Linked DNA regions of Macaca mulatta. The protein of the gene in region 1 interacts with the protein of each later gene in a biochemical or structural test. Links are inferred from orthologs where the notes say so. Each region holds a gene or a part of one and is shown in the gene's direction. Other genes may lie near its edges.

Region 1 (3,500 bases):
TTAAGCAAGCCCTGGAGGGGTCCTGCCTGGCCTTAGGTGTATGAGCAATGTATGTACATGTTTGTATACAAGAGGCATCAAGTGTATGAGTACCACAGGAAGGAACTTCTCAGTTGGGCCCTTGGTGAAAGAGAAGGGAGCCTGGGAGGTGGACATTTCCAGACTAGGAATCAAGATGAAATAGGGATAGGAAGCAATAGCTATTCTTGCCCTAGGTATGGCTTAGTGGGGATGGAGCAGAGAGGGTGAGAGGGCAAAAGCTGGGGAGGTAAATTCCTGAGCCCTGTCACAAAGAGCCCTCAAGGCCATAGAAGATGTTTGTTTTCCTTAGACTGGCAATGGGCAGCCTCGGGAGGGGCTTAAATGAGGTCTAAGGGGGTCAGAATAATGTTTTATGAAGAGCCAGAAGACTGGGGAAGGATGGCTGATTGGTGAGAACCGGGGGCAGGGAAAACAGCAGGAAAGGCAGGATTCTCAGCTGGAGGACAGGCTGGAGGGGTTTGCTGAGGGGTTAGGTGGTTCCAGGTAGAACCAGGAGTGTGTCAGGGATCTAGGGTTAGGGCCAGGAGCAATGCCCACTGTTCCCGGTGGGATAGATGTGGAGTTCTGTGGCAGTTGCTAGAGGGACAGGACAAGAAGAGAGCATCTGGGGGAGTTGGGCTGTTAGGACATTCCAGCTAGGTTGGTGTGCAGTTTGGGCTGGAAGGGCTCCTGGGGTGGGGGCTGGCCAGGCAAATGCTGGCACTGCATCTGGCTCCAAAGTTACCAGGCCAGTCTGGGTTTAGAGCATTTCAAGAGGCTTCAGAGCTTAGGGAATACTCAAAGAAAGTCATCGCTGTTGGCTAAGCCAAGCTTTTTTCCTTTGACCTAATCTACCTTAAATTGGTGACTTCTGGGCTGAAATGTCTGCCCTCCGGCCAGCGGGCAGCCCCTCCCTGTGCTGGAGAGTGTATCAGAGCCTGTGCACCTTTGCTGAGGGAGCAGAGGAGTCCATTGGACGGGCTCCCTCCATGCCCCACATACAGTGCTGAGTGTTTCTAGCTGTTACAACTTTTGATCTTACCAACATCTTTCTGATGCTATTGTATGCTACTCTTTTATGTTACTCACTTCACAAGTGTAGCAGTGAGGTCAGAGCGGCTGTCACTTTATTGAGATCACATAGATGTGAGGTGGAGCTAGGATTTTAGTTCAGCCAGTCTCGCCCAGAGCTTGTGCATGTTTTTTCTACCACCCTGCCTTCTAGAGAAACTCAGTCAAACCCTTTGCTTTACAGATGGTAAAACTGAGACTGAGAAGTTAGATGAGTGAACTCGTCATTGTCTCAAGTTTCAGTGGCTGAGGCAGGTCATCTGCTATTCAAGCCCCTGTACCTCTCTGATTATGCCCTGTGAAGGCCAAGGGAGCATGCAAGGGCCTTGGATAGCTATGATAAGGAAATGGTCCCAGGCAAAACGGTGGTCTGGGTCCAGGATGACTGTTGCTCTTGGACAGCCGATGCCTTGGTCATGGGATGGAGTGGGGATTAGGCCCTTTGCTGAGACTGGTGTGGGGATGTCTTAAGCAATTAGGCATTTCAGGGATGCACCAGTCCTCTGGGCCTGAGCCTAATTCCCAGGGATCCTGAGGCCCATCTTGACCTACCCAGCCCTGCCTCTGGGACTTTATGATTTGATTGGTGTGTACCTCGTCTCAGGAAGTGGTCCTCATGAACAGCCTTGGGTCCCTATTTCTCCTTCTGGAGTCCAGCTGTTTCGCAGGTCAAAATGTCTCAGTGAGGGAACAAAGATAGGAAAGGGACACCCCACAGAACCGCCTTTGCCCCATATGGCCCTCTCTGACGTCTCAGCCCTTACTTAGCAAAGGCCTATCCCTAGACTCAACCCAGCCCTCTTATTACCCAGAGTGACTGAGTGGTCTTGGCTCTGCCTCTGGGGTTCTTCCCTGAAAGACAGTGTAAGAATGAGGAAACCGGCCGGGTGCGGTGGCTCAAGCCTGTAATCCCAGCACTTTGGGAGGCCGAGATAGGCAGATCACGAGGTCAGGAGATTGAGACCATCCTGGCTAACACGGTGAAACCCCGTCTCTACTAAAAAGTACAAAAAACTAGCTGGGCGACGTGGCGGGCGTCTGCAGTCCCAGCTACTCAGGAGGCTGAGGCAGGAGAAGGGCATAAACCCGGGAGGCGGAGCTTGCAGTGAGCTGAGATCCAGCCACTGCACTCCAGCCTGGGCGACAGAGCGAGACTCCATCTCAGGAAAAAAAAAAAAAAAAAAAAAGAATGAGGAAACTAGGCTGCCCTCCTTTCAGTATTGACTCTGGGAGAGCCCAGCTTGATCTTGGCCTCTTTGCTACCTTCCTAGTTGATATTCGAGAAATCAAGGAGATTCGCCCAGGGAAGACCTCACGAGACTTTGATCGCTATCAAGAGGACCCCGCTTTCCGGCCGGACCAGTCACACTGCTTTGTCATTCTCTATGGAATGGAATTCCGTCTGAAGACGCTGAGCCTGCAAGGTGGGAGTCAAGGGGGTGGAGAAGGTAGGGGATAGTTAGGGGATTGCCCGCTCATTCCTGCCCAGTGGGAGGTATGTGCCCTCGGTGCAGCTGATGATACCATGCTCACAGCCACATCTGAGGATGAAGTGAACATGTGGATCAAGGGCTTAACTTGGCTGATGGAGGATACATTGCAGGCACCCACACCCCTGCAGATTGAGAGGTAAGAACCACTCCTGAAGGGGTTAGGGCTGGGAGCATTAGGGACCAGGGGGACAGAAACAGCAGTCCCTTTGTGTGCCCAGGCATCTCCCAGGCCTGGCCGTAGATAGAGAAGTGGCCCTCACCTCAGGCTTCTTTCTCCAGGTGGCTCCGGAAGCAGTTTTACTCAGTGGATCGGAATCGTGAGGATCGGTAAGTACTGAGCTGTGACTCTAGCCCAGCAGGGTGGGGATGGGCATCCAGAACCTTAGCCAGGCCTCTAAGTAGCTGCCTGGAGAGCCAGAGGACCCAGGGGACCTTAAGCGGGGCCAGGGCGGTGGGCAGCAGGTTCTGCCACGTGTAGCTTTCTGCACAAAGTCCTCTGGTGGCCTTGGTGTGAGCTAGTGAGAGGAGCCAGCCACATGCTGTGTGCCCTGCCGCTATGGGCAGAGACTGGGTATGTAGAACTGCCTTTGGGTGTCCTGGAGGTGAGGGTGGCCAGTAGTGTGTGAAGGGTGCCCTGAGGCTTATGGCTCTGAGGCCTGGTGTGGCAGCCAGAGGGGCCAAGGAGAGAAGGGGGAGCAAAGACCAGATGGTGTGGGTGCTGCACCGTGGTGAGATCCTTTGACCTAAAAGAAATGGGAAGCCATGGAAGGGTTCTGAAGAGAGGAGTGATGTGACCTGATGGGTTACTCAGGATCACTCTGACTGCTGTGTGGAGAGCTCAGTTAGCTGTTTCCACACTCCAGGTGAAAAATGAGAATGCTTGGATCATGATGGTAATGGTAGGAAGTGGCTGGA
Region 2 (4,130 bases), on another chromosome or scaffold:
TTCAGTTGACCAGAAGACAGTCATATAACTACACCTAGCTACTAGGGAGGCTAAAAATTGTGGTCTTTATTCTTGATGGCCAGATGCCCAGAAAACCATCAGGGATTCAGTCAGTTACTCTTGTATGAAGGAGAGAGTAGATATTTGGGAAAAGCAGCAATCCCTACCTCAAGCCCATATTCAGGGAGAAAAAAAAAAAAAAGATCTTGTTTGAGCAGCGTATTTTCACACATATATCTTAAAATCTCAGAATAGGGGAGATCATTTAAAATATACCTGTACCCTACCCTCCTGAGTGTCTTGATTATGCTGGGGCATCCAGTATATGAAATAAAATAAGGCTGTTGTCTGGTAATTTACATTTAAAAATAAACATTGGAGAATTTCACTCCTATACAGCAAGAATGATTGTTTCATTTATTATTTATCACTACCCAGTACATGCCATCTCTGCTTACACTAAAATCTCTTGATTATTAACATGGTAGAGATAAATGCCACACATTATTTTTCAACTACGTACTAACTCTAAGGCAACATGCATGACTAGCACCCACCATTTGTAAGAGGTATGGGATTCAGTCCTCCAAGGGACCCTCACAAGGAAGCTAAGGATCAGAGGAGGCACAGCTTGCTCAAAGAGAAACAGCTTAGTAAGTGACAGATCTGGTAATCCAACACAAGTTTGTTTGTTTTTAAAGCCCATATATACTTTGTTTATTATGCCATTCTGAAGGATTCGCTTATTTTTCACTGTTTCACAAAATGTCAGGACAGAAAGGCAATCATCTATATGTAGCATTGAGAAATTTCTGTGGGCTTTAATTTAAATCTTAAAAACTAATAAACTTCAGCAACATATTTCTTCATTTTAATGTGTGAGGGGTTTGTGCTCATTACCTCTTTTAATTGTCAAACCCAATTTGGCGAAGATCCATTCAACAAATTTTTCTTAAACATGTTTTTTATGTGTCAGGCACTGTGATGGTTGCCGAGTATATCATGGTAAGCAAAACCACGCATTGTCCTTACCCCTTGTGCTACACGTTTTAACTGCTGGATGGATTGGATGGATTAAACCAGGAACTATAAAGACTAAACTGTAATCCTTACCATAATTTTGAGTCTACAGTTTTTCAAATATCATTTTGAGCCATATAGCAAAGGCTGTATGTATTTTTTACATATGCTTCCTCGTTTTGTGAATTTTGAAAGGATGTGGTTATGGCCTTTGACATCAGAGGAGACGCTCAGCTATGTTGGCTGAATGTTGATAGAAAGATAACGTTGAAGGCAAGTTGCCCTTGAGCAACTCTCTGAAGATCAACTGCCTCCACATTGCATTCTTTGCCCCAAAACTCTTCCCTTTGGTTGTGCTGAGAGGTGATGCCCAAGGTGCATCACGTTTCAAGAACTGGATCATGAACAACTTTATCCTCCTGGAAGAACAGCTCATCAAGAAATCCCAACAAAAGAGAAGAACTTCTCCCTCGAACTTTAAAGTCCGCTTCTTTGTGTTAACCAAAGCCAGCCTGGCATACTTTGAGGATCGTCATGGGGTATGTGAGCAGTTTCATTTGTCTTTTTTCGCATAGTATTTTATGTTTGGACTGGGCTAATGCAAAAGTATATACATAGCATACAATAGAATACAGGAAACACAAACATGCTTGTTGTAACAACATAAAAAGTACAGTAAAAGTAACCAGAGGAGAATGCAGAGAGCAGTCAAGAGGTGAAATGGTGGTGCGAGGCAATTTCAGTTCTAAAAACTGGAAATTTAATATTCATCAGCTTTTTCCCCGTGCAAGATTATGTTTGATTTTTAAATTATTAATAACATTTTAGGAAGCAAGTATTATGATTCATTAAAACTTGAACTTTCTATGAAACATACCAAATTTAATGAAACATACTAAACTTAATGAAACATACTAAATTTAATGAAACTTAGATTAATACAACATTAGCATTCGATGGGATGATCTACCCCAGCTTGCTTATTTTTAGTGGAAGAAACTGGTGTTTAGAATGGTTAAATTTGGGGTTCCGTGTTAACGTTTTCATGAATAACTCTGTCTGTCGCAATACTCGTCACTTGCCCAATCTTGAAATAAGATTCCCCAGGCATTTAATTGTCTAAAAGTTGTAAGGCACAATGGCAAGCCTCTTCATCTCTTGGTAGACTTCCTAGGACACCAGGTTTATTAAGAACAAAGTTTCTGCAGTGCAGACCAGCAGTTCTTACCCAGAAGAGTATGGCTGCTTAGCTAGGTCAGTCTGTCTCTGTATCTCAAAATAGTCTCATGCTTCTTTAAGATCAGTAATAACAAAAGCAACAGGAATAATCCTAATAATGTAGTTTGGCAGAAAAAGCATTGGACAAAGGGTCAGGAGACCAAACTACTTCTCAGTAGGTGATCCAATCTGGACAAATGTCTACCCCCTATTTCAGGTTCTTTCTTTATCAAAGGAAAAAACTGGAAATAACAACCTTCAAGATCCCTTTCTTCTTTAAAACTTCTTTGCTTTATGCAGTGGCTCTTGTTTAGCCCTATGCTGCAATTTTTCAAAGCGTGTTTGATTCCTTACTGTATGGTTATATTATTTTTACATCATTAGTGGGGTAGGACAAAGATTATCACTTATATTTTACTGAAGGGAAAATAATATTAGGTGCCTGATGGTCACTTAGAAACAAAAGTGCTCTGATTCTTTGTTGGAGTCTGACTTAGTAGCTGGAGGCATGAGTTTGGGATTCTTTGGCGTGCCAGGCTTTAAAGCATTTCATGAGGTGGAGCTCCAAAGGAGGTCAGGCTGGGTATAGAGTCTATGGATGCCTCACTTTTTAAAGTTGCAGGTGTTGCATGTCTTTGATGAATTACAAAAAAAAAAAAAGTTACAGGCAAAATAGTGCTGCCTCTTTAAAAGTGAAAAGAATTGCTTGTCTTGTTATCAGACTCTTACTGATAACAATTTACCAGTCAATCAGAAAACACATGGAATTATGTGCGAGGCCTCTGCCAGGTGGCCAGGAGCCCAGTTTGTGAACTTGGGGGATTTATCATGTAGAGCTAATAAATCGCATGGCATTACTCAATGCTTTTTTGTGAATGGAACATTTAAAGTTTTTGTTTCATATTGAAAGAACAGTCATGTACCTTTAAATATTTTTTTCAAAGCCCATTTTACAGTTTTCACCAGTTTGTTTTCCTGATTCAACATAGTATCATCTTATTTAGTTAGTACTAATAATTCTTTAGCCCAATTGTTATTTATGAACTGTTTGTGAATTCAGCTCAATATTATTTGCAAATAATCACAGAACCAGATGGCCTCAATTCAGAATTTTATTGGTCATAATTTGCAAGTAGACAAGGTTGTAAAATCACCCTACTTCTTTATCTGAGCATTATGAAAAATTCCAAGACAATTACTTCATTCTGGGGAGCCCTAGGCTGTAGTTTCTGATACTTCCATGTAAGATACAGAGAATACATGTCCAAACATCAAATTTCTTGTTTTCTAATGCCTTTTTTGCACTTATAAATAACATTTTTAAAGTATTTCTTTAATTATTTAATTATTATAGAGATTGATTAATTAGAAATTTATCCAAGGTCCCTGAAACAGGTAATATATGTGAGTTATTATCGTCCATGTCTTATGTATACTACATCGTTTAGGGCCACCAATTTGTACACAAGAGTGCATTAATATTACTCATAAGTAAATAACATTACACCTGTGGGAAGAACATTTTCATTTTTAAATTAAAGCCTTCACTTTCAATCTGTAAAATGGATGTGATACTAGTACCCATTTCATAGGAAGAAGGCAAAGACTCAGAGGTATAATGTCTTTAGGCTGAACTTTTTAAAATTATTTGGCAGGTCGAATATCAGGTATTAGAAGTCTCAAACAATTCAACTTAATGTTAGGTACTTAGCATAGGCCCTGCCATCTGGTAAGCATCTACTAAAAGTTAACCATTGTTTGTAGCCCTTTCACATCTCTACAGAAGCTAGCAGGGTGTCATAACAATTCATTTTCAAATTATGGGAGATATTCAAGGATTCTCCAAAATCAAGCTAAGATCAGGGTCCTGGATTCCTTCTATTCTGTGGCAA
Region 3 (4,044 bases), on another chromosome or scaffold:
GGGCTACCTTCACTGATGCCCTCAGCACCTTCTAAGGTGAGGCTAACACCAGCTCACATTGATGAGTTGGTGCTGGGCCTGGAGTAAAATGTGTATTTCATTTAAGCTACCCACCAGCTTGTGAGGCCAGTGCATTACAGTGACTGTGGGGCTCCTCAGTGTGTGTATAAGACAGAAACTGTGCATGGCCAAAGCTATGCTTGAAAACCCTCAGGGAGGCACCACCTCAAGGACCAACATAGCATCACTTAGTAAGGGCAACAGCCTTGGAACAGATGACTCTGTGTGTGTGCGTGTGTGTGTGCACGCGCGTGTGTGTGTAGCATTAGATGAAGTAGTAACTTATGTTTAGAGGTTGCCTTATTGCACAAATATAGTTGCTTTTACACACTGGACTCACCCTCTGCCAATAAGTTGTTCAATTATGAGAAATAAACAATGTCTGAAACTAAGAAAACAGCAGATTCTCACCTCCTATCTCCAGGGAATGTGCTCTTTGGCTAGAATATATGGCAGAATCAATAGTGAATAAAATATACTGTGGAAACAATCGTGAATGGAATATATGACACTATCAATAGCAATCGTTAAGTTTATTTTTAATTTTTCTTTTTAGGTTTGTCTAGTTAAATGCATCTAAGTTTTATGTGTATATGAAGAATCACTGTTTTCCTATTATACAGATTTGGAAACTGAGATTCCCAGCTTTTAAGTCCTTGCCTAAGGTTGCATAGCACAGAAACAGTCACATAAGAAACTGAGCCCTGTTTGCACAGTGCAGCACTTTGTTCAGCCCTGGGTATCTGACTCACTCATTCCTTGAGGACCCTCTCATGACAACTGTAAATAGGCAGCTGAAAGAATCCCAGTCTTTGATGGTGGGAGGGGAAGGTGGTTGGAAAGCATTAAAAGACCACGCTCCAGCAGTTCACTGATGTGGGAAATTGTCCGTATTTCAGGTCAACCATCAGCATAGATTTTGGTCTGCAAAGCCCCCGCTGAGCAAGAATGCAGTGTAGACATATGGGTGCCCAGAGTTTAAAGGAAAAATACTCGAACTCACATCGGAGTTTAAGACCCCTTCATTGCCTCTCCTACTGGGTTGGAGTGACTGGAGTCAGTGGGGAATTACCAACCCTGGGGCTGTCTCTGCATCTCAAGCCCCCAGAGCTGGGCTTCCTTGTTTACTTATTTAGAGCCCAGCAGAGGAAGTGGTAAAGGAAACTAGCTGAGTCGTTTTCTGAGAAGAGACCATATTTGTTCGCAGAGGAAGTCGTTGCTTTCTGGGATCTGGCTACGGCAGAAAAGACATCGGCTCCAACAAGGGTGTTCCACAGGGTAGCAGGGAGTTGGAAGAGCCAAGAACGCCTCCGAGCTCTGGATTTGAGCTTCTCTGCCCATGGGTGCAGCGCTCATGCTCAGCTTGTGAGCTTCCTCCTGGGAGAGCAGCCATGGCACTGAGGAATGTACCCTTTCGCTCAGAGGTCCTGGGCTGGGACCCTGACAGCCTTGCTGACTATTTCAAGAAGGTGAGCCTTGCTCTCGTGTGAGTGGTCATGATGATAGTGCCCTTCGTGGGCTGAACTGAGGCTTGACAATGGAATTGGGGCAGAATGTGGGAGGTGTATAAGATAGCAATGGAACCCTATGGCAACTTTACTGGTTGAGTGAGCGCCATATAGACCGCTGAGTTTTCCTGGCAATGAGTTCTGGAGAGAAGGATGTGAGCAGGAGCCCTCAAAAGAGTATGTGCCTATTATGTGCTAGGGTTTGAATTCAGTGTTTCACAGGCACCATCCCATTTAATGCTCCCTACTCTCCTGTGAGGTCAGCATTGTTATCCCCTTGACTCAGCTGTAAAGTCAGCTCAGGGAACTGAAATGGTCCGAAGCCCTAGGGACCACATGTGATAGAGGCAAGTTTCAAGTCACACCTATCTGGTTTTAAAGTCCATGCTCTGAGATGCAGAGAACTGTTGCAACTGCTAATGAGATCAACGCTCCTTACTAGAAAGGGGCGACATGGCGTCCTGGAGGCGGGAGAAAGAATAGGCAGGGTGGGAGGGCTGGTTAGAGGACTAAGATGAGCAGGTGCCAGACACGGTAGGTTAGAGGACTAAGATGAGCAGGTGCCAGACACGGCATTTAGGCTTTCACTGCTCACAACCCTGAGGGGGATCCTCAAGCTCCTGCTTGGGGCAGAGTCTCCTTGGAGCTTTATGAGAGTCTTGTGAAGCAGGCCAGAAAACTGATATAAGCCCCAATTTATAGCTATGAAAACTGAGGCCCCTAGAGGGGAAGAAGCTTGTGGCAGTCCTGGGATCAGAATGTTGCTGTCCTGTCTTCTGGGCTTAGAGGAAAGATTGAAGGATCCCTGTGCTTGGTCACTGGCAGAAGGGGACGACACATCTGCTTGGGCAGATCTCAAGCCACATGACTTAGTTAGTGTCCCCCTACCCTGACCATGCGGTAAGATGCCTTGTGAGAGACATTTAAGCTTCTAACACCTCATCCCTGCAGGCTGGCATCAGATTCTGTTGACATTCCAGACTGTCATAAAGATGAGATTGTAAAGCTAAGATGGTAGAAGTCATCTAACTCAGCTTCCTGTTTTTCCTGGGGAAATTGAGATTCAAGTGGGTAGACGAGGTTCCCTAGGACATATAGCCAAACCTGGAGTCTACGCAGTTCCAAGGCATTTATAGTCACAGCTGTTCTACCCCAATCTGAAGAAGAAAATGCGAACATGTTAAACTAGGTGTGGTATGGTAGGGGTGCAGCTCACAGATCCTGTTTTTTTTTTTTTTTTTTTTTTTTTGCCATATTTAGTGCTTTCATTTCTGTTATTTTCCTTCTGCAAGGTCATAATAAACTTAGGTTTCAGCAAATATTGTTGCACAGCTGGTTTTTTGAAGGTTGTTTCTAATATCTTTCTCAAATATAGACCAAACAAGATAGGGCAACAAGGTAAAACTTGCCAAGAGGGAATAAAGTGGCATGTTACCTTGGTAAAGGAAAAAGAAAGGAATTGAGAATTATGAAGAGAAAGACTTGAGATGGGCTGAGAGGCACAGACAGGCCTGACTTTCAGCCCAATTGAGCAACAGAGAACTGATCCCTAAAACTCCCGTCAGTACAGGGAGATGGACCATGGGTCAGGGACGGTATCGGAAGACGTCTGTGCCTGAGCTGGGGGAAGGGAGAGTTTTCTTCCTGGATATCTCAGACCCCAGGACAAATCTATGGCATCCAAGCAGGTTCCTTCTTCTGGCATAAATGGACTGAGGGGAGAAACTAGGAGACTGAGGTGAATCTGTGATCCTGGAAGTCCTAGTCTCTCCACAGACTTGGATAGAAACCCTTCAGATTCTGAGTACCTCAGCCCCCTGAAAGAAAATACCAAATGAATGGACTGCAGAGTTTTTTAGGAATAGATCTCAGCCATCAATCATGACATGTAAAGGATTGATCTGCAGATGCAAACTCTACCCAAGTAGTGGGGTCCGACCTCTCCTGGAGATGCCTCCCTTGGAGATACCTCCTGAGTCAGCTCTGGAGTCAGACACACCTTGCCCTGGCTCTGCCACCTGCTAGCTTGGCGACTTTCCCATAGTTGCTTTGCTTCTCTGTGCCTCAACTTCCTCATCAGTGAAATAGAGATACGAACAGTAACTAACTCCATGGGCTGGTTGTGAGGATTAAAGGAAATGATGGGTGTAAGGCATTCAGCAGACAGATGGGTCCTAATGCATGTTCCATCTGCCCTTTTTCCTTCTCTATTAACTGGCTCCTAGCTGGGGACACCAATGCAGACTGGTGGGATTTTGTGTCTTCTTGTCTCTGACATGTGTACCTCATCCTGTGTCTGGAATATAAGCTCCTGAGGACTGAGACCATGTTGTATATTTGTTCAATCTGTCCAATTCCTTTTGACTTGCAGGAGAACATCTTTGGGTCATGCAGTGGAGAGGCACTGGCTCAGAGCTATGTGTCCTAATCCCAGGTGGGGTCCCAGCTGGTATCTCAGCACACTGTGTGACCTTAG
Region 4 (3,500 bases), on another chromosome or scaffold:
TGACTTTAAGATCATCTTGTCAGTGTGCAGAGGGCAAGAAATAAGTTGATGTAAAGTTTTAATATCAATGTTTTCACCACTAATTTAGGAGGCACTAAGCTAGCAGTGCATTACCAAGCCCAGTCTGTTTGTCAAAACATTTTGGAACTTTTAAACTTGACTATTTGATCTATTTTGAAAATGTAAATAATAGTTTTAATCATTTTGAATCACATAGTTTAATAAGATATTTTTCCTTTTTCTTCTTAGATCCCAATTTTGTTCGGACATTTCTTACAACATACAGATCCTTTTGCAAACCTCAAGAACTACTGAGTCTTATAATAGAAAGGTCTGTCCATTTAAAAAATATTTAAATTCATTATTTTTTGTTAAAAAAGAGATTAAGCTAAGATCTTATGTTTTTCAGAAATGTTAGATGAGCTTTAAAATATACTTCACGAGCACTTTTTCAATAAATAAAATCTCTTAAATGAACATTTATTTTGTTAGCTTTTATTATTTCAATACAAAAATTATTTTTTGTATGTGAAAACTCGGTATTTGAAATTTCAAATTTACAGAACGATCTATATAAAATTTATAATTTAGAGTTGAGAAATTCAAATTTTGATGAGTTAGATGTTCTAAGTAAGTTTTCAAACATACTTCATGTTGAGTAAAATGGAGCTTGTCAGTGAACAAATACTGTGATGGAAGGAAAATATTTCATGTATCCAAACAAAGAGCAGTCAGTTTTTCTGGAATTACCCTTAACAGTGATTATGTCACCTGATTTAGAGTAATTCCACAGACCAAAAATGAATATCAGTCCCATAACTTTATAGTCACATTTATTTTTAGAATTTGCATGTATTCTTTATTTTGTTTGTAGTTAGTTTTATCTATATTGGCAAGTACTAATTTATTTTAAAATTTTAAAAATAATTTTATTAACCTTTAATATTATAGAAGTCTCACTTATTTACACTGACATGCATATTTTTAGTAATTTTTTACAGTATTCTCTTGATTTTGCTGACAGGTGGAAACATTTGTGGTTTTCTATTTGTATAACTCGATATAATTAGTATTTTCATTAATTTGTTCTATTTTATGTTAGGTTTGAAATTCCAGAGCCTGAGCCAACAGAAGCTGATCGCATAGCTATAGAGAATGGAGATCAACCCTTGAGTGCAGAACTGAAAAGATTTAGAAAAGAATATATACAGCCTGTGCAACTGCGGTAAGCATTAAATAAATGAAGCAAATAAGTCTTTATCAAACTTTCATTTTAGTGTTGAAGTATATAAGGACCTTTCCCAAACAAGGAGCGGGGTGACAATAAAATTAATAAATTAAATTTACTAATTATAGCAGTTATCAGAAATTATAGTGTAAGTCTTAATGTAGAATTTTGGAAGTGTTAGGCACCCTGATAAGAATAACTTGGTAAGAGTTACTGTGTTTTCATTTGTATTGTACCATGCATTGTGATAAACATTTATGTTTGATTCCCATGTAATTCAATTCTGTGTTAATGCTGTAGAGTATTAAATGTATGTCGGCACTGGGTAGAGCACCACTTCTATGATTTTGAAAGAGATGCATATCTTTTGCAACGAATGGAAGAATTTATTGGAACAGTAAGAGGTATGTTTTTTTTTTTTAGGTGCTTAGTTTTATATGTAATAAAAGTACCAACACGGTGACTATCAATTGATGTTATTGTGGTTCAGTAATACGAGATGTTTGTAATAGTACCAGCATAACCATTTGAAAAAGTTAAAAATTTTCATCAAACAACATTTAGACCTGCAAATTGCTCAACAGTCACCCTGTTGATCCAATGTATTTTCATTTACTGAATCAACTTACTGATTATTTTAAGAGTTGGTTAAGCCAAGTCTTCATACATATCCCAAAGTATGAGGGCGTTTGGGAATTACGTTGTGCCATTATAACACCACTGATGGAGGTCGAGTGGGCCACAGGTGAATAGAGAGAATCAGAGAGGAAGCAGAGTGGATTAAATTGAGAGTTTGTGTCTAACACTACCACTGATCAGATATGTGACTTTGGGCAAAATCACTTAGATTCTTTAGACTTCAGTTTTCTTATCAATAACATGAGGAGCTAGGTTTGTTGATCTCCAAGGTTTTCCTTCTAGTTTTAAAGATTATATGAGTGTATAGCTCTAAGGATGTCTTAGACAAACTTATTTTTATTTCCTTTGTATGCTCTAAATGATAATCAGAAAATAGTTAAATAATAGTACTTTAAATGTACAATACAAAACAGAGCCACATCAAAACTCACACTAAAAATGAAGGAATCAGTCCTCTGGCACTGATATTTATTGGTTTATAAAATGCAATGTGAATTAGATTAATAGTGTGTATAATCTATCCTTATAAATCTTGTGATTTACATAAGATATACCTTTTGGAGGATTATAAAATAATACATTAAACTGAAGATCAGAACAATGGGGTGGACAGTCTCTACAAATTAAGTACTTTCTAATTTTATTTGGAAAGGATCTGGAAGAACACGTGCCAGGCTACTAACAGTGGTTACCCATGTGGAGAAGAGTAGTAAGATTAGGATGGGGGCCGGGAAATGGAAAAAGGGAACTTGTATTTTTCATTTTGATCATTTGAACTTTTTATAGCAAAGATACGTTCAGGTATCATCTGTGTGATTTTAAACCATTTTAAAAATATTAAATAAAGAATATTTAAATGTTATTTAAAATATAATGTATTGCAGGTAAAGCAATGAAAAAATGGGTTGAATCCATCACTAAAATAATCCAAAGGAAAAAAATTGCAAGAGACAATGGACCAGGTCATAATATTACATTTCAGAGTTCACCTCCCACAGTTGAGTGGCATATAAGCAGACCTGGGCACATAGAGACTTTCGACCTGCTCACCTTACACCCAATAGAAATTGCTCGACAACTCACTTTACTTGAATCAGATCTATACCGGTATGTACTTTAACATTCAAGCTGAAAAATCATTTCAAAAGAGTGAATTTTTAAAATGAAATACTGATTTCTGCCTTACAGGGTTGTCCTAAGACTTAACTGAAATCGTACATGAAGTGTCTAGTAATGAGGCCAGGCAGGCACTTCCTGTTCTTTCACTCCCTTGGTCCCTCCAGCTGAATTTACACCTTCTGTCTTTCTGTGGTCACCCCTAGTTGGTAAGGCTAGGTTCAAATCCTGGCTTTACTAATTGCTGACCCTGGGCAACTTTAACCTCCTTGTGTAACTTTATCCTTCTGCCCCTTATTTTCCTCAAGAGTAAAATGGGGCTACTGATAGTACGTACTCCTGGGGCTGTTTTGAGGTTTGAAAGTCAATGTATGTACATTACCTAGCACAAAGTAAGGGCTCAATAAATGTTGGCTACTGCTTTATTGTGAACTTATAGCCATTATAGTCTTTTTTAGTTTATCATACTACATTGATATAATTATCTCAAAAATGTCCTTCTGATTTTAAATGGGGA
Region 5 (3,500 bases), on another chromosome or scaffold:
GGAGCTTGCAGTGAGCTGAGATCCGGCCACTGCACTCCAGTCTGGGCGACAAAGCGAGACTCTGTCTCAACAAAAAAAAAAAAAAAAGAAAATGCAGAAATCACCGGTCTTCTGTGTCGCTCGTGCTGGGAGTTGGAGACTGGAGCTGTTCCTATTCGGCCATCTTGCTCCAAGAGTGTTTTCTTTTGGGGAATACTAAGGAGCCCCTGGGAGGAATGACCACAGCGGAAGCAAGCCCTGTAGTTACAGGCATTAATTCAGTAGATACACAGGGAGTGGCGAGTGTGTACCAGACACTGTTCTAATGGACAGAACATACCCAAGTCTTTTTGCCTTTATGAGTTTATATTCTAGTGCAGGGGTGTTCAATCTTTTGGCTTCCCTGGGCCACATAGGAAGAAAACGACTGTCTTAGGCCGCACATAAAAAACAGTAACACTAATGATAGCTGATGAGCTAAAACAAAAATTGCAAACAAAACTCATAATGTTTTAAGCTTTATGAATTTGTGTTGGGTCGCATTCAAAGCTGTTGTGAGCCACATGTGGGCTGCAGGTGGGACAAGCTTGTTCTAGTGGGTAGAGACACATAATAGATGGAATAAACAGTGAATGTATGTAGGTGTTAAGAAGGGAAACAGGAAATAGCTAGGTGTTTAGAATAGGGAAGTTGGGGTCTGGCTCATGAAAAGATCCCTTGCAGTGGTGGTCTCAGCCACTTGCAGTACAACTAGGCCTTCCTGCTTAGAACTCACACTTCGGTCATCACTCTGACTATTTCCTGGTCTACATTCTTGATTTTTTTGTTGTTGTTGAGACGGAGTCTCACTCTGTTGCCCAGGCTGGAGTACAGTGGAGTGATCTTGGCTCACTGCAACCTCTGCCTCCTGGGTTCAAGTGATTCTCCTGCCTCAGCCTCTGAGTAGCTGGGATTACAGGTGCCTGCCACCACGCCCAACTAATTTCTGTATTTTTAGTAGAGATAGAGTTTCACTGTGTTGGCCAGTCTGGTCTCGAACTCCTGACTTCAGGTGATCTGCCCGCCTCGGCCTTCTAAAGTGCTGAGATTATAGGTGTGAGCTACTGCGCTCAGTCCCTTGAAGATTTTTTATGATTTCCTCCTCTATGCTATTTATTTTCAACCATTCATGTACCCTTTTGAAGCTTGTTTATTTTAGGGATCTGCTGTGTACCAGCATATATGCCTGCCATTTTATTGAATTCCTTTCCAGTCCTTTCAGTAACCCTCTGCAATGGGTATTACCATCCCCGTTTTACAGTGGTAGAAACTCAGTCTTTAACTCATCAGGATTCAAACCCACATCTGACTCCAAAGCCTCCTCTGCCCTTTCTTCTCTTCCCCAGTGCTTTTTTCACTCACTAGGTCACCAAAGTGCTTATTCTTAGACACTTGTAAAAGGACATTTTCTGTTGATTATGAACCTCTAACTTTGTTTTAAAAGTGTGCCACGTCCCAAGGGTCTTATGTATTTATTTATTTTCCTAGAGTAAACCTGGGCTTTTGTTTTCTTCCCTTTAGATGCTCTGCTTCTGTACTGCCAGTGGATGTGCAGACACTAAACGCATCTGGGCCACCGTTTGGAAAACTAGTGGTTCAGAGTTCCATAGATTCTAGTGCATTCAAGCACAATGGCACGGTTGAATGTAAGGCTTACAACGATGTGGGCAAGACTTCTGCCTATTTTAACTTTGCATTTAAAGGTAACAACAAAGGTATATTTCTTTTTAATCCAATTTAAGGGGATGTTTAGGCTCTGTCTACCATATCAATCATGATTTTAAGTTCATTCCAACATTGACCATGTCATTTCTGGTAATACGTACATCACACCATACTGTCATCAAACTCGCTATGTTTCATTTTGTACTAGCTTGTTAAGTATATGTTTTTACCAGAGCACTTTTAACCATGCTACTTTATATATTTTATATGTATGTGCGCCTCTTTTATATTAGTTGTATATTTACAATTGTCTCCATTAAAAAGGGGTAGAGAAAGCAAATGGGGGGGAATATATTTACCTTACACCCAAACAGAATTAGAACAATCTAACATTTAAATTCAATTAAAAATTTCAATTATTTAAAGTGAATTATTTTAACACTTTGCCAGACACTGTATCCAAAAGTTAACACTGCCTTTATGAAGTCATGTTAGCAAGTTATTTCTTTAAAATATTTAAAATTTGATTCATGTGTGACTAACTCTCTTAACATAAGTTAAAAGTTCCTTGTGGGCAAATTGCTGAATTGGTACAAAGTGGGAAGACAAAGAAAGTGGGCACTTACTTTTTAGGCCTTCTTGGGTTTTGTTTGTTTTTTGTGTTTTTTTTGTTTGTTTTGTTTGTTTGTTTGTTTGTTTTTTTGAGTCAGCAAAGACTAGTGCCAAAAAGTGGCGTATTTTCTCAGGTTTTGAGTAATGAGGGGAAGAATCTTCCATTGTTCTACATCATCGATTTTTCAGACGGGGCAACGAAAAGCATACCTTAAAAATGGTGTTTTTTTTTTGTTGTGAAAGACATTCATGCTCAGTGTAGAAAATTTAGAAAATACAGGAAAGTGTAAAGAAGAAAATATAAACCATCCATAAAGGAAGCTTCTTTTTAAAAGTTGTACAAGGCAGGGATTTGATTGAAGTACAAAGTGCATTCAGATGTTGCTTTTCATTGAAAAACAGCATAAATTATTCCTTTTCTACAGAAATCTCAACTTCTATTCTGCAGTATTCTGGTTTCAAGTTATATTTTTAAAGATTCATTTGAATAACAAGAGTACGATGTAACCAAGGTGAAGCTCTGAGAGTCACATAGCTTTGCTTCCTGCCATGGGCTGTGAGTTGGGAGGTCAGTTTGGGAATGAGTGGCTGTGGTAGAGATCCCATCCTGCCAAAGTTTGTGATTCCACATTTCTGTTTGATTTTAGAGCAAATCCATCCCCACACCCTGTTCACTCCTTTGCTGATTGGTTTTGTAATCGTAGCTGGCATGATGTGCATTATTGTGATGATTCTCACCTACAAATATTTACAGGTAACCATTTATTTGTTCTCTCTCCAGAGTGCTCTAATGACTCCGACAATAATTCTTAAAAGGTGATCCATTTTCCCCTTTCTCCCCACAGAAACCCATGTATGAAGTACAGTGGAAGGTTGTTGAGGAGATAAATGGAAACAATTACGTTTACATAGACCCAACACAACTTCCTTATGATCACAAATGGGAGTTTCCCAGAAACAGGCTGAGTTTTGGTCAGTATGAAACAGGGGCTTTCCATGTCACCTTTTTGGGTACACATAACAATGACTTTAAGGAACTCCAGTAGCTTCCTTTGTTTTGTTCCACCTGAAACAATGAGTTTTCTGTGAAATTGCACCCCTTTTGATAGGTTTGGCATAGAGAACATTGTAGGAAAATGTCTCTAGACAAAATTGTTTTTAATTCCTTTATTGATTTTGAAACTACATAAATGATCCTTCAATTC
Region 6 (3,088 bases), on another chromosome or scaffold:
CTTTTACAGTCAAAGTCCAAAGCCACTCTTGAGGAACAACTAGAGAACCTTATGTACAATATTAAGCTGGGCACAGTGGCTCATGCCTGTAATCCCAGTACTTTGGGAGGCTGAGGTGGGAAGATCCCTTGAAGCCAGGAGTTCAAGACCAGACTGGGCAACACAGTGAGACCCTATCTCTACAAAAAATAAAAAAATTCGCTGGGTGTGGTGGTGTGTGCCTGTAGTCCCAGCTACTCGGGAGAGGCTGAGGCAGGAAGATCACTTGAGCCCAGCTGAAGGTGGCAGTAAGCTATGATTGCACCACTGAAATCCAGCCTGGGCGACAGAGTGAAACCTCATCTCAAAAAAACAAAAAAGCAAACAAAAAGAAAAAAAAATTAAAAGGGAAACTAGTAGAGATGCCCGAAGGTTCTGGCTGAAGCCCCCAGAGTCTGGTACTACTTCTCTACCACCAAGGGCTTTGGGCTGTCCCTTGGGACTGTCTAGACCAGACTGCAGCGGGAGTGGGAGGGGAGGCAGCAGGCACACAGGGCCGGGGCTAGATGCTGGCCTCCCTCCTGCCCCAGGTTGGATGATTGACTCTGAATGTCGGCCGAGATTCCGGGAGTTGGTGTCGGAATTCTCCCGCATGGCCAGGGACCCCCAGCGCTTTGTGGTCATCCAGGTACTGGGCCTCTGTGCCCCATCCCTGCCTGTGGCTAAGAGCACCCTCCTGCAGAGGGTGGGAAGGAGAGATGAGTCCGGTGTGTCAGGCCCCTCACCTGCTATGAGCCTTCATGGAAGGCTGCATGCTGAGCTGGGGAGGGGCCACCATCCCACCTCTCCTTCCTCCGCAGAATGAGGACTTGGGCCCAGCCAGTCCCTTGGACAGCACCTTCTACCGCTCACTGCTGGAGGACGATGACATGGGGGACCTGGTGGATGCTGAGGAGTATCTGGTACCCCAGCAGGGCTTCTTCTGTCCAGACCCTGCCCCGGGCACTGGGGGCATGGTCCACCACAGGCACCGCAGCTCATCTACCAGGGTCAGTGCCTTCGGTCACACTGTGTGGCTGCTTACCTCCTCCATCCCTGGTGGACTAGGGTCCCTTTCTCTGATGTTCCCTCAACTGTCACCTCTCAAGGAGACCCCATTATCCCTACAAAAAATTCTTACTGCCTTCCAACCTCTGTGACCCCATTCTCTCCACGGTGATTGTGTCGTACCCCAAAGGTGACCTGTTTTTCTCCTGTGACCCTGTCACTTCCCATGGAGTCCCCATCCCAGATCCATTAAGTGACTCCCATCATGACTTACTTTCTTGTCCCCAGAGTGGCGGTGGGGACCTGACGCTAGGGCTGGAGCCCTCTGAAGAGGAGGCCCCCAGGTCTCCACGGGCACCCTCCGAAGGGACTGGCTCTGATGTATTTGATGGTGACCTAGGAATGGGGGCAGCCAAGGGGCTGCAAAGCCTCCCCGCACATGACCCCAGCCCTCTACAGCGGTACAGTGAGGACCCCACGGTACCCCTGCCCTCTGAGACTGACGGCTACGTTGCCCCCCTGACCTGCAGTCCCCAGCCCGGTATGGAGTCCAGTCTAAGCGGAGAGACTGATGGGCGGGGTAGGGGGGACCCTCAGCCCAGGGTCCACTGTGGGGGCAGAGGGAGTGGCAGCGACACCGGGGTTCCTTCCCCTAATAGGTCATCTTCTCTTGGCCTTTCAGAATATGTGAACCAGCCAGATGTTCGGCCACAGCCCCCTTCGCCCCAAGAGGGCCCTCTGTCTCCTGCCCGACCTACTGGTGCCACTCTGGAAAGGCCCAAGACTCTCTCCCCAGGGAAGAATGGGGTTGTCAAAGACGTTTTTGCCTTTGGGGGTGCTGTGGAGAACCCCGAGTACTTGGCACCCCGGGGAGGAGCTGCCCCTCAGCCCCACCTTCCTCCTGCCTTCAGCCCAGCCTTCGACAACCTCTATTACTGGGACCAGGACCCATCAGAGCGGGGGGCTCCACCTAGCACCTTCAAAGGGACACCTACGGCAGAGAACCCAGAGTACCTGGGTCTGGACATGCCAGTGTGAACCAGAAGGCCAAGTCCGCAGAAGCCCCGATGTGTCCTCAGGGAGCAGGGAAGGCCTGACTTCCACTGGCATCAAGAGGCGGGCGGGCCCTCCGACCACTTCCAGAGGAATCTGCCATGCCCGGAACCTGTCCTAAGGAAACTTCCTGCTTGAGTTCCCAGATGGCTGGAAGGGGTCCAGCCTAGTTGGAAGAGGAACAGCACTGGGGAGTCTTGGTGGATTCTGGGGCCCTGCCCAATGAGACTCTAGGGTCCAGTGGATGCCACAGCCCAGCCTGGCCCTTTCCTTCCAGATCCTGCATACTGAAAGCCTTAGGGAAGCTGGCCTGAGAGGGGAAGTGGCCCTAAGGGAGTGTCTAAGAACAAGAGCGACCCATTCAGAGATTGTCCCTGAGACCTAGTACTACCCCCCATGAGGAAGGAGCAGCAATGGTGTCAGTATCCAGGCCTTGTACAGAGTGCTTTTCTGTTTAGTTTTTACTTTGTTTTGTTTTTTAAAGATGAAATAAAGACCCAGGGGGAGAATGGGTGTTGTATGGGGAGGCAGATGTGGGGGGTCCTTCTCCACACCCACTTTCTCCATTTGCAAATATATTTTGGAGAACAGTTAGGCACCGGCCTATGTCTGGGGGTAGCTCTGCACCATCCCTTCCTGCTCACCTTACACTCAACTCCTCTTTTCCTGGAGGGAGTGACCAGGAATCTTCAGAAAGCTTGGATGAGGAGCCTGACATCCAGTTCTCTAGCTTCAGGGTTGGGGGGGATCGGGAAGCTGGATTCGGATCTGAGAGCCCTTTAACAACCAGATCATTCTTTCTTAGAACGAATTCCTAAGGCCACTCACCAGAATGGGGTTATTTCCTCCTTGTGAGTCAGGAGAGTGGCGGTTGAGTGGGCGAAAGACGAGGCAGGGTCTACTGTGGGACTCATTTTCCTTGCCTTGGCTATGCCAGAGGAGCTCACTGACCTAAGGAGTAGCTGTCCAGAAAGCCCACCCAAGCCAGCACAGCCACCCTGGCGGTACA
Region 7 (2,427 bases), on another chromosome or scaffold:
CCGTGTCTGACAGTGAAATGGTCCTGCCTTTGTCTCCCTGCCTCGCCTTCCAGGCGATCGCCTCCCGATGGGCAGAGCTTCAGGAGCTTCTCATTTGAAAAGCCCCGGCAACCCTCGCAGGCTGATGCTGGCGGGGACGACTCGGACGAGGACTATGAGAAGGCAAGGCTGAGCAGCAAGCCCAGGTCCCAGTGGCCAGCAGAGGGACAGGTGGTGGGAGAGCCATAGGCCAGGGTGGCCCCTCACAGACCATCCTGAGCAAGGACCCCTCGAGAACCCGGGAGCCTAGGGGGGACACAGCACCATGCAAAGCCCCAGATCCTGGCACTGGGTGGCCGCGGTCCGGGGAGTGGTGGTGTGGGTGGATCGCTCCGACCTTGGCACTGACACCGTCAGCCTCTTGCAGGTGCCGCTGCCCAACTCGGTCTTCATCAACACCACGGAATCCTGCGAAGTGGAAAGGTCAGCACAAAGCCCTGGATGCCCTGGGTCCCCCGCTGTGTCCCTCTCACTAGCTTCTGTGTTGGGGAGTTGCTGGCACAGGTATATGGCCCTGCGTGCAGAAGGAGCCAGAGGACTGGACCCCCCTGCTGTGTCCCATGCCCAGCTGGCACCCTGGCTGGCCAGGGCTCTGCTGGGCTGCTTCCCTCAGCTTCACGGCAGCCCGACACACTCAGCGCCTGAGACATACAACAGCGAGAGGACAGAAAGCCGGGCTTGGGAGCGGGGCGGGAAAGTCCCTGTGAAAGCTGCCCGAGAAGGGCTCACATGCCAATATGACTGTCTTATTTTAGGCTGTTCAAGGCTACAAGCCCCCGGGGAGAGCCCCAGGATGGACTCTACTGCATCCGGAACTCCTCTACCAAGTCGGGGAAGGTAGGCGCCAGGGGTAGATGCCCCGAGGCCCCATGCGGTTGGCCTCTCTGGCTCTCCACATACCCAGGCTGTGGGCGGGCCCAGGACTCCGCAGTTCCTAGACCACTCCCCTTGTGGACTCTTACTTGGTGTCTCAGCTAAATTCTCTGCCCAGCAGCACCCCCTAATCTATTCCCTAATAGATCTCCATCTGCAAATTGGGGGCGATGATGGCCACCTCCCAGTGGGGGCCAGGACTCGGGCGGGGTAGGGCTCATGCTCCGGGGTGGGGGAGGCCACATGGGGCAGTGGGAACGCCCGGTCTGCCCGTGTCCCTCCGAGCGTGAAGCTGTGGCCTCCCTGAGCCATGCTCTCCCGGGTGTGTCGGGGTGGTTTTTGGTGGTTATGAGCTGCTGCTCATCAGAGGCTCTCTGAGGGCTGCCAGTGTCGTCCCCGCTGTCCCTATCTATGCAGGTGGTCTGGAGCCCCTCCCCACCCCCCCAGGGCCACAGGACCCAGCCTTGATGGTTCTGCCCCGCTATCCCCAGCCCACGGTCTCCCGAGGCTGGTTCCGCTGTTTCTCAGGGAGCCGTCAGCCTCCTGCTTCCCTCCTGTAGGTCCTGGTTGTATGGGATGAAGCCTCCAACAAAGTGAGGAACTATCGCATTTTTGAGAAGGTGAGAGGGTGAGAGGGTGAGAGGGTGAGGATGAGAGGGTGAGAGGGTGAAAGGGTGAGGGGGAGAGGGGGTGAAGGGGTGAGGGGGTGAGAGGGTGAGAAGGGGAGAAGGTGAGAGGGAGAGGGTGAGAGGGTGAGAGGGTGAGGGTGAGGGAGAAAGGGTGAGAGGGTGAGGGAGTGAGAGGGGAGATGGTGAGGGGGTGAAAGGGTGAGGGGGAGAGGGGGTGAAGGGGTGAGGGGGTGAGAAGGTGAGAAGGTGAGAGGGTGAGAGGGAGAGGGTGAGAGGGAGAGGGTAAGAGGGAGAGGGAGAGGGGGCGAGGGTGAGGGGGTGAGAGGGTGAGAAGGTGAGGGATAGGGTGAGAGGGTGAGAGGGAGAGGGTGAGGGGGTGAGAGGGGAGATGGTGAGGGGGTGAGAGGGGAGATGGTAAGGGGGTGAGGGGGTGAGAGGGTGAGAAGGTGAGAGGGAGAGGGTGAGAGGGAGAGGGGGCGAGGGTGAGGGGGTGAGAGGGTGAGAAGGTGAGGGAGAGGGTGAGGGTGAGAGGGAGAGGGTGAGGGGGTGAGAGGGGAGATGGTGAGGGAGTAAGAGGGTGAGGGGGAGAGGGGGTGAAGGGGTGAGGGGGAGAGAGGGTGAGAAGGTGAGAGGGAGAGGGTGAGAGGGAGAGGGGGCGAGGGTGAGGGGGTGAGAGGGAGAGATGGTGAGGGGGTGAGAGGGGAGATGGTAAGGGGGTGAGGGGGAGAGGGGGTGAGAGGGTGAGGGTGAGAGGGAGAGGGGGTGAGGGGGTGAGAGAGGGAGAGGGTGAGGGGGTGAGAGAGGGAGAGGGTGAGGGGGCGAGAGGGTGAGGGGGCGAGAGGGTGAGAGGGCGAGGGGGTGAGAGGGCGAGGAGGTGAGAGGGAGA

Evidence for each region.
Region 2: the proteins of PLCG1 (region 1) and ITK form a complex in vitro, tested with the Homo sapiens proteins (2 studies listed by BioGRID, with this or other methods). The link is inferred for Macaca mulatta from reciprocal best matches to the Homo sapiens genes PLCG1 and ITK.
Region 3: the proteins of PLCG1 (region 1) and LCP2 form a complex in vitro, tested with the Homo sapiens proteins (2 studies listed by BioGRID). The link is inferred for Macaca mulatta from reciprocal best matches to the Homo sapiens genes PLCG1 and LCP2.
Region 4: the proteins of PLCG1 (region 1) and SOS1 form a complex in vitro, tested with the Homo sapiens proteins (2 studies listed by BioGRID and IntAct, with this or other methods). The link is inferred for Macaca mulatta from reciprocal best matches to the Homo sapiens genes PLCG1 and SOS1.
Region 5: the proteins of PLCG1 (region 1) and KIT form a complex in vitro, tested with the Homo sapiens proteins (3 studies listed by BioGRID and IntAct, with this or other methods). The link is inferred for Macaca mulatta from reciprocal best matches to the Homo sapiens genes PLCG1 and KIT.
Region 6: the proteins of PLCG1 (region 1) and ERBB2 form a complex in vitro, tested with the Homo sapiens proteins (2 studies listed by BioGRID and IntAct, with this or other methods). The link is inferred for Macaca mulatta from reciprocal best matches to the Homo sapiens genes PLCG1 and ERBB2.
Region 7: the proteins of PLCG1 (region 1) and SH3BP2 form a complex in vitro, tested with the Homo sapiens proteins (2 studies listed by BioGRID, with this or other methods). The link is inferred for Macaca mulatta from reciprocal best matches to the Homo sapiens genes PLCG1 and SH3BP2.

The regions. Positions count from the first base shown.
Region 1 is NC_133415.1:94,021,840-94,025,339, forward strand, and holds part of PLCG1 (1-phosphatidylinositol 4,5-bisphosphate phosphodiesterase gamma-1), read left to right. Parts: intron 1-2,363; coding exon 2,364-2,516; intron 2,517-2,627; coding exon 2,628-2,721; intron 2,722-2,864; coding exon 2,865-2,912; intron 2,913-3,500. UniProt on the Homo sapiens protein: Mediates the production of the second messenger molecules diacylglycerol (DAG) and inositol 1,4,5-trisphosphate (IP3). Plays an important role in the regulation of intracellular signaling cascades.
Region 2 is NC_133411.1:166,050,683-166,054,812, forward strand, and holds the start of ITK (tyrosine-protein kinase ITK/TSK), read left to right. Parts: upstream 1-1,330; 5' UTR 1,331-1,421; coding exon 1,422-1,559; intron 1,560-4,130. UniProt on the Homo sapiens protein: Tyrosine kinase that plays an essential role in regulation of the adaptive immune response. Regulates the development, function and differentiation of conventional T-cells and nonconventional NKT-cells.
Region 3 is NC_133411.1:179,163,762-179,167,805, reverse strand, and holds the start of LCP2 (lymphocyte cytosolic protein 2), read left to right. Parts: upstream 1-1,244; 5' UTR 1,245-1,451; coding exon 1,452-1,529; intron 1,530-4,044. UniProt on the Homo sapiens protein: Adapter protein primarily involved in signaling pathways within T-cells, as well as other immune cells such as platelets, mast cells, and natural killer (NK) cells.
Region 4 is NC_133418.1:85,931,113-85,934,612, forward strand, and holds part of SOS1 (son of sevenless homolog 1), read left to right. Parts: intron 1-249; coding exon 250-331; intron 332-1,102; coding exon 1,103-1,225; intron 1,226-1,528; coding exon 1,529-1,632; intron 1,633-2,751; coding exon 2,752-2,974; intron 2,975-3,500.
Region 5 is NC_133410.1:78,765,787-78,769,286, reverse strand, and holds part of KIT (mast/stem cell growth factor receptor Kit), read left to right. Parts: intron 1-1,539; coding exon 1,540-1,733; intron 1,734-2,942; coding exon 2,943-3,049; intron 3,050-3,140; coding exon 3,141-3,267; intron 3,268-3,500. UniProt on the Homo sapiens protein: Tyrosine-protein kinase that acts as a cell-surface receptor for the cytokine KITLG/SCF and plays an essential role in the regulation of cell survival and proliferation, hematopoiesis, stem cell maintenance, gametogenesis, mast cell development, migration and function, and in melanogenesis.
Region 6 is NC_133421.1:64,080,579-64,083,666, forward strand, and holds the end of ERBB2 (receptor tyrosine-protein kinase erbB-2), read left to right. Parts: intron 1-501; coding exon of another isoform or gene 502-569; coding exon 570-667; exon of another isoform or gene 668-697; intron 698-807; exon of another isoform or gene 808-839; coding exon 840-1,028; intron 1,029-1,314; coding exon 1,315-1,567; intron 1,568-1,708; coding exon 1,709-2,064; 3' UTR 2,065-2,588; downstream 2,589-3,088. UniProt on the Homo sapiens protein: Protein tyrosine kinase that is part of several cell surface receptor complexes, but that apparently needs a coreceptor for ligand binding. Essential component of a neuregulin-receptor complex, although neuregulins do not interact with it alone.
Region 7 is NC_133410.1:2,986,059-2,988,485, forward strand, and holds part of SH3BP2 (SH3 domain-binding protein 2), read left to right. Parts: intron 1-53; coding exon 54-162; intron 163-406; coding exon 407-462; intron 463-794; coding exon 795-876; intron 877-1,472; coding exon 1,473-1,532; intron 1,533-2,427. UniProt on the Homo sapiens protein: Binds differentially to the SH3 domains of certain proteins of signal transduction pathways. Binds to phosphatidylinositols; linking the hemopoietic tyrosine kinase fes to the cytoplasmic membrane in a phosphorylation dependent mechanism.